2 linked regions of the Drosophila melanogaster genome follow. Changing the gene in region 1 together with any one later gene gives a genetic interaction. Each region holds a gene or a part of one and is shown on either strand. Other genes may lie near its edges.

Evidence for each region. A genetic interaction does not mean that the proteins touch.
Region 2: of spz (region 1) and pip, changing one enhances a phenotype caused by changing the other (phenotypic enhancement), as found in Drosophila melanogaster (one study listed by BioGRID).

The regions. Positions count from the first base shown.
Region 1 is NT_033777.3:27,064,542-27,071,735, forward strand, and holds spz (spatzle), read right to left. Parts: upstream 5,530-7,194; 5' UTR 4,669-5,529; coding exon 4,603-4,668; intron 2,955-4,602; coding exon of another isoform or gene 2,817-2,954; intron 2,659-2,816; coding exon 2,581-2,658; intron 2,344-2,580; coding exon 2,067-2,343; intron 1,940-2,066; coding exon 1,558-1,939; intron 1,491-1,557; coding exon 1,313-1,490; 3' UTR 1,262-1,312; exon of another isoform or gene 1,148-1,261; coding exon of another isoform or gene 1,019-1,147; exon of another isoform or gene 895-1,018; intron 782-894; 3' UTR 547-781; downstream 1-546. Other genes in the region: CG43935 (uncharacterized protein), read left to right, coding at 1,019-1,147. UniProt on the Drosophila melanogaster protein: The activated form, spaetzle C-106, acts as a ligand for the Toll receptor. Binding to Toll activates the Toll signaling pathway and induces expression of the antifungal peptide drosomycin.
Region 2 is NT_037436.4:19,334,604-19,339,164, forward strand, and holds the start of pip (pipe), read right to left. Parts: upstream 3,007-4,561; 5' UTR 2,828-3,006; coding exon 2,739-2,827; intron 1-2,738. UniProt on the Drosophila melanogaster protein: Sulfotransferase involved in dorsoventral axis patterning in early embryos.

The DNA of each region.
Region 1 (7,194 bases):
TGATTGATGACCCTGGCCAATGCCCAATCGACCAGGGCACGACACTGGATTTGGCCAAACGGGAAGGATACCTAATAATAGTAATTAAATTGTGGCACTTTGCCCGCCCACAACGAATCCACAAGCATTCGCATTGTTCGGCCTAACTTTGACATAGTTTATTGTGTCTGGGAATCGATAAATACTATTGATTTCCACATGTGCCAGCGCCAGCACCTCAAGACACATCGCGCATACGCCCCGCTGACAGTTGGAAAAATCCAGCGCCAGGAAGCCGAAGTCGATGCATGTTATCCTTTTGCCGGTGAAAGCCAACCACCACCCCTTTGGGGGAATGTGTTTACACTCACTAGGGTGTAATTGGTTTGCGCAGCGGGGCGAACCGAATTATTGTTAATAAGCAAATAAATTGTCCACCAGGTACTCGCTGATGGGTTCAAAGAACTTTACTTTGCTGGCATGTACTTGCATACATTTATTATACATTATCTTTTTTTAACATACATTTTTCAAATCGTTATTTCTATCTTTCTTGTTTTTTTTTTTGTGTTTTGTGTTTTGTTTTGTTTTTATTCTAGGACTAATTACTTGCATTTCTAGCTTAGGCATTAGACGTGGAAGTCAAAAATGAATATATGACACGAATATGGTTAAAATGACTCGACTTAAAGCTCTAAATTAATATGCACATTGGTCTATGTGTGGATTCAGCAGATTATAGAATAAATCAATGACCACTGATCAGTTTGGCCTGCCATTCTGTGGTGGGTGAAACTTCTTGCTGCAAAGAGAAGAGATACAATTTATATTTTTGGTCTAGTTAACAAGGAAATAATGTCAATGAAGCTGTATACATATTTAGAGTTGTAGTCTCAGTCTGAAAAGTTTGACTCTTCGAATCACAAGAAACATTATTCTTGAATTTAAGTACAATACTTGATAAAGCACAGTTCGAAAATCCGCATTCGAACATATTTTCAAGACTTCTGAATTGCAGACATTATACTATCTCATTCCGATGGATCGCGTCGTTGGCAATTTCGAGAACAAGTTTAAGCATTTGGTGAAGGCTGAAAGCAAGGGAATGGCCCTAAAGCTGGTGGGATTCTACGCCGTCGGCTGGACCCTGCGCAAGTTGGTCAAGTGAAGCGTTCGCCTTAAGTCGCAAGGATTCATTGAAATCCTCTACTTCTTGGTAGTCAGTCGTTTCTGTTCTGTACCTATTTTTAAAATTTAATGTACGAATAAATCGTGGCCTCACCTCAATATCACATTGTCGCAGCCATCGACTGGAGAATCCCATTTTCCAGAATCACCCAGTCTTCAACGCGCACTTGCAGCAGGAAGGGATCTTGAAGGAATTCTGCACCACGTCCAGTTCGCCATCACTTTTGATGCTGGCCAGGGTCTGCTGTGTGTAGTGCTGCTTGCAGATTGGATTATAGCTCTGCGGAAAGTTGGCGGCGAAGTCACAGGGTTGATCCGCTCCTCTGGAAGGGAAGGTTTGGCAATTAGCAAGGCTAATGGAATATATCATAGATTCAAGCTATAACTTACTCGCACTCTTCGATCTGGATGGCCTGTTTGTACTCATCGTTATTGACAATTAACTGCCAGGTGTCGTCCGCCCTCAAGCCCTTTTTTGGGTACACCAGCTTCCTGATGCTCCTGCAAAGGAATCGCTCGTCTGAGCCACCAACGCGAGAGCTCACATCCGTGGGCTGAAGATCGTTGCTAAAGAACTTGGCAAAGTTGTTTTTTAGCTTATGTGTGAGGCCTGAAAGGTCCGGATAGTCGTCCACATTCGTGCAGAAGTTTCTAAGGTGTTGGCTTTCATCCTTGGCGCAGGGATTGTGCTCTTTAGTGTCATTCCTCAAAGGACGAGCTGGGGATTGTGGTGGCCGATACTTGGCTATGGGGGAATCGGGGAAGACAAAGGCTAAAATTAGGCAAGCGCCAAAGGCAGTTGGCCAGTGAGTATGGGATCGATTTAGTAGTTAGTTGTAAGGCATGTTTGGGTATCGAATGTAACTGAGCATATATAGGCTAAAATACTTAGTACTTACTATCCGATGGATGTCGGGGGGGTATCGGCTGTTCGGATTGCACCTCCGTGTCCGTCCTCTGCAAAGATACGAACGTATCGTTAAAGACCAGATTCAGCTTTCCATTCGGGGAGCGCTGCACTTTGAAGTACTGATCTGGTTGGATCAGGCTGTGATACTGATGGTAATGGCGGTTCGTTTCGGGTATCGGAGATTGATTCTGATTCTGTTTCTGTTTCTGGGTCGGATCGTCGTGCTGGGTGGGTATGGGCATGAAGGGTGCACTGTCCGCGGACGTCTGTACGGGTAAAATTTACTCGTGTTAGTCTTTAGCCAATTGGCAAAAAAAGGAAGCACAAAGACAACACACAACCCAATAAGAAACCAAATGAGCAGTGAAATGGGGATGCAATATAGGATGAAGAGTAGTTATAAGAAAGCAGCGCACCAATTCGTCCTTGAAGCTATGAATTGCGTTTCACATCAAAGACACATTTTACAGAGAAATCATGCATTTGCCTATGTATACACTTACATTAAAGAGGACAACTCCCTCATCATTGGTTATTGTAAAAAGCTCTTTGATGATACGTTCATACTCCTTGGCCTCGTACTGTAGCAAAAATGGCGAAATAAAAAGACAAGACAATAGACTTTAGTCTCGGTTCAGAAGTTTTGACCACACCACAGACAAATTAAGGCTATTAAGGTGTTAAGCATAACGATACAACTGGGTCTGTTTCGGGACACTCGGGGACACTGTGCTCACACCTGTAAGTGATTAGATGCTGACTTTCCGGGTCCGCCATTGTTAATGGTAGCCAAAAGGGCCTTATAGTCTGCCACTGTTTTCTCTGCCCTCACCTCGGCCTCGTGTCGCTTCGTTAATTCGATATTGATATAAACTATCTGAAAGATACAGGTGAGAGTTTTGTTTGCAGTTCATCAACATTGCCAAGACAACGGAGTATATATTCGTGGGTCGGTGCTCGGGCTCGTTTGTTTGTCAACCCAGACTTCTCTCTCTCTCTCTCTCTATTGTCGGGCACTACATTTGCGTATTCAAAAGGTTTGAACAGCTGTTTTTCGGGCAAGCGCAGTTTTCTCTCGCAATTCTATAGTTCCGTTGAGTTAGGACCCGAACCTATATACATATAACAACAGCCAGAGTCCAAAATCAGAGTTGATAATCCCCTCGAGAGTTGCCTCTAGCTTAGCAACTTGAAAACGGATGTCCCTCTTCCGCAAGCAATAAAGACTGAATAATTGGAAAATCTAAAGGCAAGCCGATCCTGAATAAAAATCAACATAATCCAACCGGAAGGTTATTTATATAAAAGAACAAGCCAATAGTTGCTTTTAATGTATTGATAATCCGAGGACCATAATTATGCAAATAGCTTGGCGATTTTAGAATTATCAGCACTTTTAGTGCTACTCTTTAAAATATTTCTATGTTATATATATATGTATATGCAGTGATATAAATAAGCCTTGATAATAGCCCCTAATCTCGTCAAGACTTTTTATTATGCTTAAATTCTTGAATAGAGTCCATGGAATCGTCAACAGAATTTACCCAAATTAAAATTGGGTCTCGACGAGCATGTAGAAAACCCGCTTTAAGGTGCCAACCCATCTGAACTTGATTGTCTGAGAACTTTTGCGATTTCTCGGAAATGTTTTTTCCCAATCAATTAGCAATCAACCTTTTTTTAAACGCGTTCATCAGTGTTTGGCGTAGACGCAACTAAGGCAAACATTGGATCGTTTTTCCATCACAGTTTTAGGTTTTCCGTGAACCTATTGGAATTTAGCTAGAACTGAAAACGATCTTTAGAACCGGTCCGCTGCGGAATTCGCGGAAAACCGGAAAGACAAAAGTTCTCGGGCGCTTTTCAAACGGATTTTCTAACATTCGACGCCATTAATACGAACTAATTGCTTTTCTCACAGAGATGATCATACAATTTGTCCGGCAGTAAATTACTTCCAAAGTCGTGTGCAGAATGTCTGGCATTGTTTGTGTCAATTAATATTATTGTAATGCCTATGATGTGCATTTATCATATAGAGAATGAAAATTGCACATAACCTGCCGCTGGCAATGCGAACAGGTTTTCTAGTCTGTGACTAAATTTAAACTTGAAACTGCCCTTCGGCTAATGGAACTGCTAGAACAACTATGGAAAATCTAAAATAAATCTTAATAGCTAAAAAGCCCATAGCCCGAAATATATTGCAATGAAATGACAGTTATGTTAAGCATAGATTAACACGGAACAGAAAAAAACAGAAATGCAGTCGAACTTTCATAACTGGAACAAGCGAGCACCTGTTTCAAATAAACAAAAAATCAAGTTCTGGAGTCTTAAGATCTTAAGTGCTTGTCTTAAGAAGACAAGGAGACTTTAACCTTTTATCAGATTAGATAGATTTGGAATAAATTATTGTTTCGACGCAAAGATCTTTAAATTTTAAAACTTTAACTTCTTTTGAAAGTTTCCCTTATGGAGGTTCGACTGTTTTGAAATTTGTAAAATTGTAAATTTCTCACCGTGGCAAAGAAGGCGAACAGCAGCAGCAGGACTTTGAACAGCGATATCCACATGGGCGTCATCATGCTCGATCTCGGGCTTAATCAATTGGATTTATAAATATATATAGATTCTGCGGACGGCGAACGTCTGCGTCGGGGATTAGTAATAGTATATAGCAGGTGATTGGCGGATCGGTGGCGTCTTATACCAATTTTCTTATTTCTACAACTTTGTTATTATAGCGCCGGCTGCTGTTGTTTTTTAGTGATCTGTGCGTTTTTTTCTTTTTATGGGCTTTGCGTATATAAAAAATAAACAAACTGGCACGACTAAATGTTAATGCCGGGCCTTTATACTGGTAGCTGGTGTTACTGTTGCCTCTTATTTATTTATAAATATTTTGTGCGGTGGCTCTGTGTGATATGTTGGCTATTCCGTTTTGTTTGTTTCCTTTGCACGTTTGCGAGACACACAGACAGACACTTCAATTAGTCGGTTTGCTTTTCACTTTAGTTTCGCTCTCGCCGCTTTAGTGGAACCGTTTTCGGATCGGTTCGATTTGGTTGCTCTGATGAAATGCCGCGATATTGATATCGTTTATAACCGATTTGGCTTGCAACTGGGCAATGGGCTATCCAAGTAGCTGATCGCAGGATATGTGAGTCTTCAACTTTTCGGCTCTGTGCGCCGTCTTTGAGTGACACGAAAAGCTCGAGATGAATGCGCTTTTATGGACCTCAAGCCCGATACCATCTGCCACCGATCTTAAGTGTTTATAGCGACGCGCGCTGGGATTTTCCGGTCAGATCGAGAGTTTCACCATATCTCCCGGGCATGCAGAGTGTTAAGCATTAACCAAGTTCGATTTCGACTGCGATTTCGATTTGGATTTCTCGCGATCGAGAACACACGACAGCGAGAGCGCACGTCTGGGAGGCAACTGAAAATGAAAAGTGGAGCCCAGAGGCCGCCGACTCGACTCGTCTGCTCCCCCAAACAATTGCTCAGTGCTTAAGTGCAGCTTTAAGCTAGCTTGCGAGAGTGTGAGCGGGAGCGGGCGCTGTGCGCGAGCGAGACGCCGCCGGTCAGAGGCGGTGGAAGCGGGATGGGTAGTGAGCGCGAGGGTCGTGCGAGGGAGCGGGACGTCTGGGCGAGCGGACCGCGATTTTATCACAGCTGACTCCGAGCAGTGCTACTAATTGCGCCTGCTTCACGAAAAACTTTACCAGTCGGAATTATCTGAATCATATTACACTTGGAGAAAAGTAAGTGCACATCAAACTAACACTATAATGACTAACGTTTTTAATTACATCTGTTGTTAAACCAAATACAAATCACTGGAGCTTTAAGAAGAATATCAAACCCTCAATTGTACTATTTTAACACATAAGTTAAAAACATACTTTCAAAAACTAATTCCATACAAACATTTTATTCATTCTAATCAGCATAGTTGCCATAAAGCTTTGCATAAAATGTACATATCGTTTGAGTGGCATTTGACACCAAAAATTAACTTCGTTATCGCAAAATTTTTTAAAACAAATATTACGAAAAAGTTAGAGCAGCCACAGAGTAATGTTTGGATGCCTCGAAGTCAGAGCTTTGTTATCTGCGGAAGTCAATCAAAGCTGCATTTTGGATGATTAAGTTTCCGTTTGAAATAATGAATACTGTACTTAATAAACACTTATGTACAAATTTGCCCTTTTCGTCGACCCATTTTAGTAATTAACTATTATCTGTCCGCTTGTTATTGAACATACGCGATTAGAGATTTATTGCTTTTTTATTAGGTATACTTAAAGAAGCAGCGATTGAATTATCACTTTTATTTAAATCCAGAAAGAAAACAAGTTTATAGGTAGCCCGAAAATATAGAAATTTCCCCGAGCTGAAAATAACCAAACTTTGTGGCAAGTGGGTGGTTGATTACCACCTTCTCTATCGGGCTAAACCCATGTTAGCCAAGTGTAGGGCTTCTCACAGTCGGTCAAGTTGACCTGTGAGAAGGTGCCGGCCAGCACTTGTTGCTGCTGAAAGTAAAAGTGGTGCCGGGCCAAAGCTCGGCATCAAAGCTCGCGGAGCACAACTGCTCTGCTCTCGGCACCACCACCAATGAAACTATCCCCACGTTGGAGCCCATCTAATATTTCTAACACATTTGATATTCCGAACGGGTGCCGCAAACGCCAGTTCCGTTGGCGCACGCGTCATGGGAGCCGCAGATCCGAATCGCTTAAATTAGCCCGCCAGTCGCCGCCTTGGAGCGTGCTGAGGCGCTTGGGAAAGATGGTGACTCAATTGGTATTTCCGAGAACGGCGGACAAAAAACCGCATCTTTAAGTCGCACACTGCAAGTAATCGCCATGTAAACGGCATCTGACGCAGTCGTGCCTGAATGGATCTACCTTGTGTGCTTATGTTTATGGCCCAAAGTGGATGTCGTTCGCCATGGAAAAACGGGAACTTCTTAGCAGAATGCATTTTACTTGGCCATATCTACTCATAGCATAGCCTTTCCCCCGAATTATGCACCAATGACTGAGTTGAGGCCATTTCGTAGAAACATCAGCTGCACTGTTGATTCATAAGAATTTCTTTAT
Region 2 (4,561 bases), on another chromosome or scaffold:
TTTAATTTGCCACCCGCCGCAGACAGACAGCAATAATTAACTTTCCCGCGGGCCACCGGCAGCGTGTAAAATTCCCAATATGCATCATTTCCATTGCAGAAAGACAGGCAAAATAAAACAAAACGGCATGCAAAACTCGAAAGAAAATGAAGAAAAGAAAAACAAATCACATCACTGAATATAATTACCAAAGAGTAAGTGACTGCATGTCGTGGCGCCCAGAGAAAGAAAGAAACTGGCAAGAAAGAGAAGAATTGCTGAGAAAGGCGCACAGAAGAAAGACTTGAAGACTTGTAGACTCGGCAGCGAAGAGCCAGCTACAGTCTTTTCAAGCGCGGCTTGAGTCTTCGCCCTCTTTCTTTTGGGGCGTTCTAAATAATTTCTGTCACGCTTCGGCTTGCAGTGAAAATAAGAGTGAGTTTTGTTTTTTGTATTAGGTAAACCCTAATCCAAATGGAAAGCAAATCAGAAACGTAATTTATGCTAATTCGAAAGAAATTATTGCATAACTGCACTTCATTCCACTCATTGAGCGTATAATTGTCTTTTTTGACTTTTCAAATCGATTCGAATCGATTCCGACTGATTTTTCTCAACTGGGTGCAACGAACTCATTTTCTACGTATGCTCATTTATCGCGTGTCCGGATAATGAAGCTGCCAAACATCTGTCGCCGAGTTATTTAAGCAAAACCAATTAATTTCATTAATTAATATCAATTTGAGAGCGTACAAAAGAATTGTGCAAATAACGACGTAAGTGTACGCAGCAATATGGCTGGGAATTTATGTATTTATGTTTCTCTGCAGGACAATTCGTATCTGTTGTGATAAATCATATCCATATTCAAATATTTGCACTATTTTGTTGTGCAAATGGCAAGATTACTCGTTTCACTAAGTCGCCTGGCCATCGGAAATGGATAAAAAATAAATGTTTACCTGATTGATTGGCAGACTGACTGAGTGGCCAACTGATTGACTGAGAGTTTGCAGCTGCATGAAATTGTCAAAATGAGCGTAAAATTTATGCTCCAGCCAGCGGTAACCACAGAAAGTATCACACATATCTACATTTAAGCCATGTGTTTAATTAATGCCAGTAATTCATACATTTAATGTAATAATTTGTTCTGCAAATAAACGGGAAATGGGCCTCGCTTCGCGAAAATTAACGAGGGCTTTATAGGAAAAAAGGATATCTAGCAGGGACTCAATAAGTGGGAAAATGTTTAAATAAAATATAAAACATATGTATGTCGTTGATCCAATTTGCCATTAGCTTGAGCTAAGATCTCACAGTTATACGCAAATAGCTGTGAGCCATGACTTCACCACGTTTTGCCTTAATGAAAAGCAAATTCTCACACCCTTTTAAAAAGTCAACAAAAACGGTAAGAAATAGTTTCCCAAAAGCCAATTAGCCCATAACATGTGTAGTCGGTATATCATTAGTTTACATCTCGACGCACTCGTTGCAACAAATTTGGCCATACAAACGGAAAAAAGAGCGAATCTTTCACAATAGCGGACGCAGTGGCTCAGTTCTCTGGCCTAAACACCTTTTAATAGCCAAAATTGTTATGGGCGGCCGCAGAAACCGCCGGCCGTCGACCATCGACCATCGACTAATGAGCGGGCAGTCAAGTTGGGGGGCTCTTAACTTTTATCTGAGCTGACTTGGCCCGAACTGAGCCGAGTTGGGTTCTGTAAAAGGCCAGAACAAACACCGAAAAATGCAGGCCCACACAATGCAGTGGTAGGATGGTGGTAAGACACGGCTCTTTTGGCTACTTGAAATAGTTGAAGTGAGCTCGGCTTTTGTGGTTTTCCTCCTCTTCATCTGCCGCCCCGAGGTGCTACACCAAATGAATTATGAGAAGAATTGAAAATGAAAAACGCAATAAAAAATAGAAACAAGATTGTAGCTTTTAACTGGAGCAGAGATTGAAAAAACGACAGACGCAAGTGCACAGAGAAAAGTTTATGAAACATTTAAAATTAAATGTTGAAGTACAGTGTTTACAAAGCTTTAATACTTGCTTTTAATAAGTCTTCAAAATATAAGAAAACATTTTCAAAGTATAAATAATAAATACAAAAAAAATAAAAGGATAAATAATAGACCCCTTTTTGTATATATAAATTTTTGAAAATATTTTCAATTGATACAGTACTTGGAAGCTCATATCAGCATTCGTAACAATTTTTCATAGCTTAATTAAAAGTACTCAATCAATTTTTTAAAATAAAGTTCTTAAAGCTCGTCGATCTACATAAACCCATCTAAGTCGATGAGATTCATATTAAATTTAAGATCAAAAATATCTATTTCTTCTAGTGTAGCTGCAATTAATTTACTGGCTGGCACTACTTAAAGTCCGTCAAGAATGTTCGAACTGCTCTGGCCAGCAATTGGAGTTTTTATTTAATTTTATTTATCAAATACAACGACCCTGAAACACTATCACTTTTAGCCAGATGCGAAAAACGGAAAGTTAAGCGCTTTTTATGGAGAATCGAGAGCAGAGTATTTTTAATCTTTAGCGCTGCGGCAAACGCAATCTTCGATCTACCAACTCGATTTCGATTCTCTGGCCATTCAATGGCAATTATGACCGGTTTTCAATTTAACTGAAACTGGAACTCAATTGCATTTCCCCTTTGAAACGAACACCGTTCTCGAGTGAAAGAAATCTTTTCTCCGCCGCCTTTTTCTCGGCTGAAGACCACACTTACCGCTTGGGATACGGTATGCGCCGGTATTTGAAGGCATTTTCCACATCGCGCAGTTTCATTTTGTACGATCGCTCGGCGTTCAGAGACATCCAATGTCAATTACACAAAAAACACAATCGCTTGAGATCTTAGTTCTCGAAGACCTTTCTTGGCCGAAAGAATTTTCCGGTCGGCACTTGGGTTCACTTGAGTTCCGATTCACGATTCGAAGACTTAGAGATATAGACGTCCGTAGAGCTCGGCGATCGCGGCTTGACTGAATGTTCCTGGGGGCACTTGGCCGCCTTTTTGGCCAACTTTAAGACGTTGGCAGCGGCGGCTTACCACTGTTTGCTTTTACCATTTTCTTCGACTCTCTTTGGCTCTGTTTATTCGCTCTTTTGATCGCTCTTTGTTCGCTGGCTGACTGATTTCGTGGGGACGTGACTGTAGCCCATTTGTCTGTGGCAACATTTTTATTATTACCCCACATCTGACATTAATCTACTTAGACATATTTATTTAGGTCGTCCAAACAGCGAAGTGTCTTTATTCTCTGCGCAAGGAATCGAATTTCGGGCACTTGTTTCAATATCCTTTATTGGATCAGCTGGTTTACCGACCTTAATGGTAATTTGTTCGGTTGAATAGAACATATTGCGTGTGATCCAAACCACGTTGGCAAAAATAAGAACTTTAGTTTTTTCTATTTCTTCATAGAGGAAGGGAGAATTAGAATTAAAAACAGGTTTACCTTTGAACCCATCCCCCCCAATGGACAGTCGAAAAGTTGACCTTCCCGCTTTTGTAATTTCCATCGATTAGTTTTGGCCATTCGTACATATATAAGCGATTCTTCTCGATGTCTGTCTTCTCGCCTCGTTCGTTAGCCAAACTTCGGGATCTAAGCTTAATTTTTGCCAAACTCAAATCTATAGTTTCTACAAGAGTTGGATTCCGCGATCTCCCCACTTGCTGTCCACAAAGCTAAGCTCATTGACCCTTATTCAACAGTTGACTCTTATGGCACAGTGCCTCAAAGAAATCTTTTTTCCGATTAAATTAGAACATTTAAAAATTAAATTGAGGTACGAATTTTTAATTTACGAGAATTAATACTAGATTTCAATATATTTATACCTTTACTCTTTTATTTAAGTGTGTCTTATCATATATTACTTTAAATTATCTTTTTCAGGTACCTTAACTTTTAACTCTCACTGTAACTGACTTGTCCACTAACTGGCGTCAGACGGCTGTCGAATTTAAGCGTTTACCCATAACTATCTGCATAGGTCCACATTTTTAGGACCGACAAAAAACTGATTGTTTAGTCTTATTAAACTTTTTTTATTTCAGCAACAAGTTGAAAATTCGTGTAAATTTCTCGATAACAATTGCAAAAAAATGGAAAAACGCCAGCCTCAACATAAAAACAGCCAAAACATAAAAGTAAAATTAAAACGAAATGCGTTGGCGGCACATGTCTTGTGTTTATCTGGTAATAATTAAAGGTATTTCAGCATTTGGTACCAAGAAAGTGAGTAGCTAAAAACTTGTAAAGTTGCTGCCTATTGCATTGATGACTGTCCAAATCGACTGAGATAATTGAGCTATCTGAATGATCAGACTCTTTCTCCGATTTCGAAACTTAAAAGCCGACGAGTTGTTAGGCTGTCGGTTTTCGGGTTAAGTTTATCAGCTGTCCAATTGTGGTCGCTCACAATATGTTGGCTATATCTTCGGTCCGATGCCATGGTTTTTTGCTGCCAACTGTCCCTTTGTGGCTGTGCCGATTGCGCTGAGCTGGCCAACTCGATTGTAAACAACTGCAATTGGCCCTA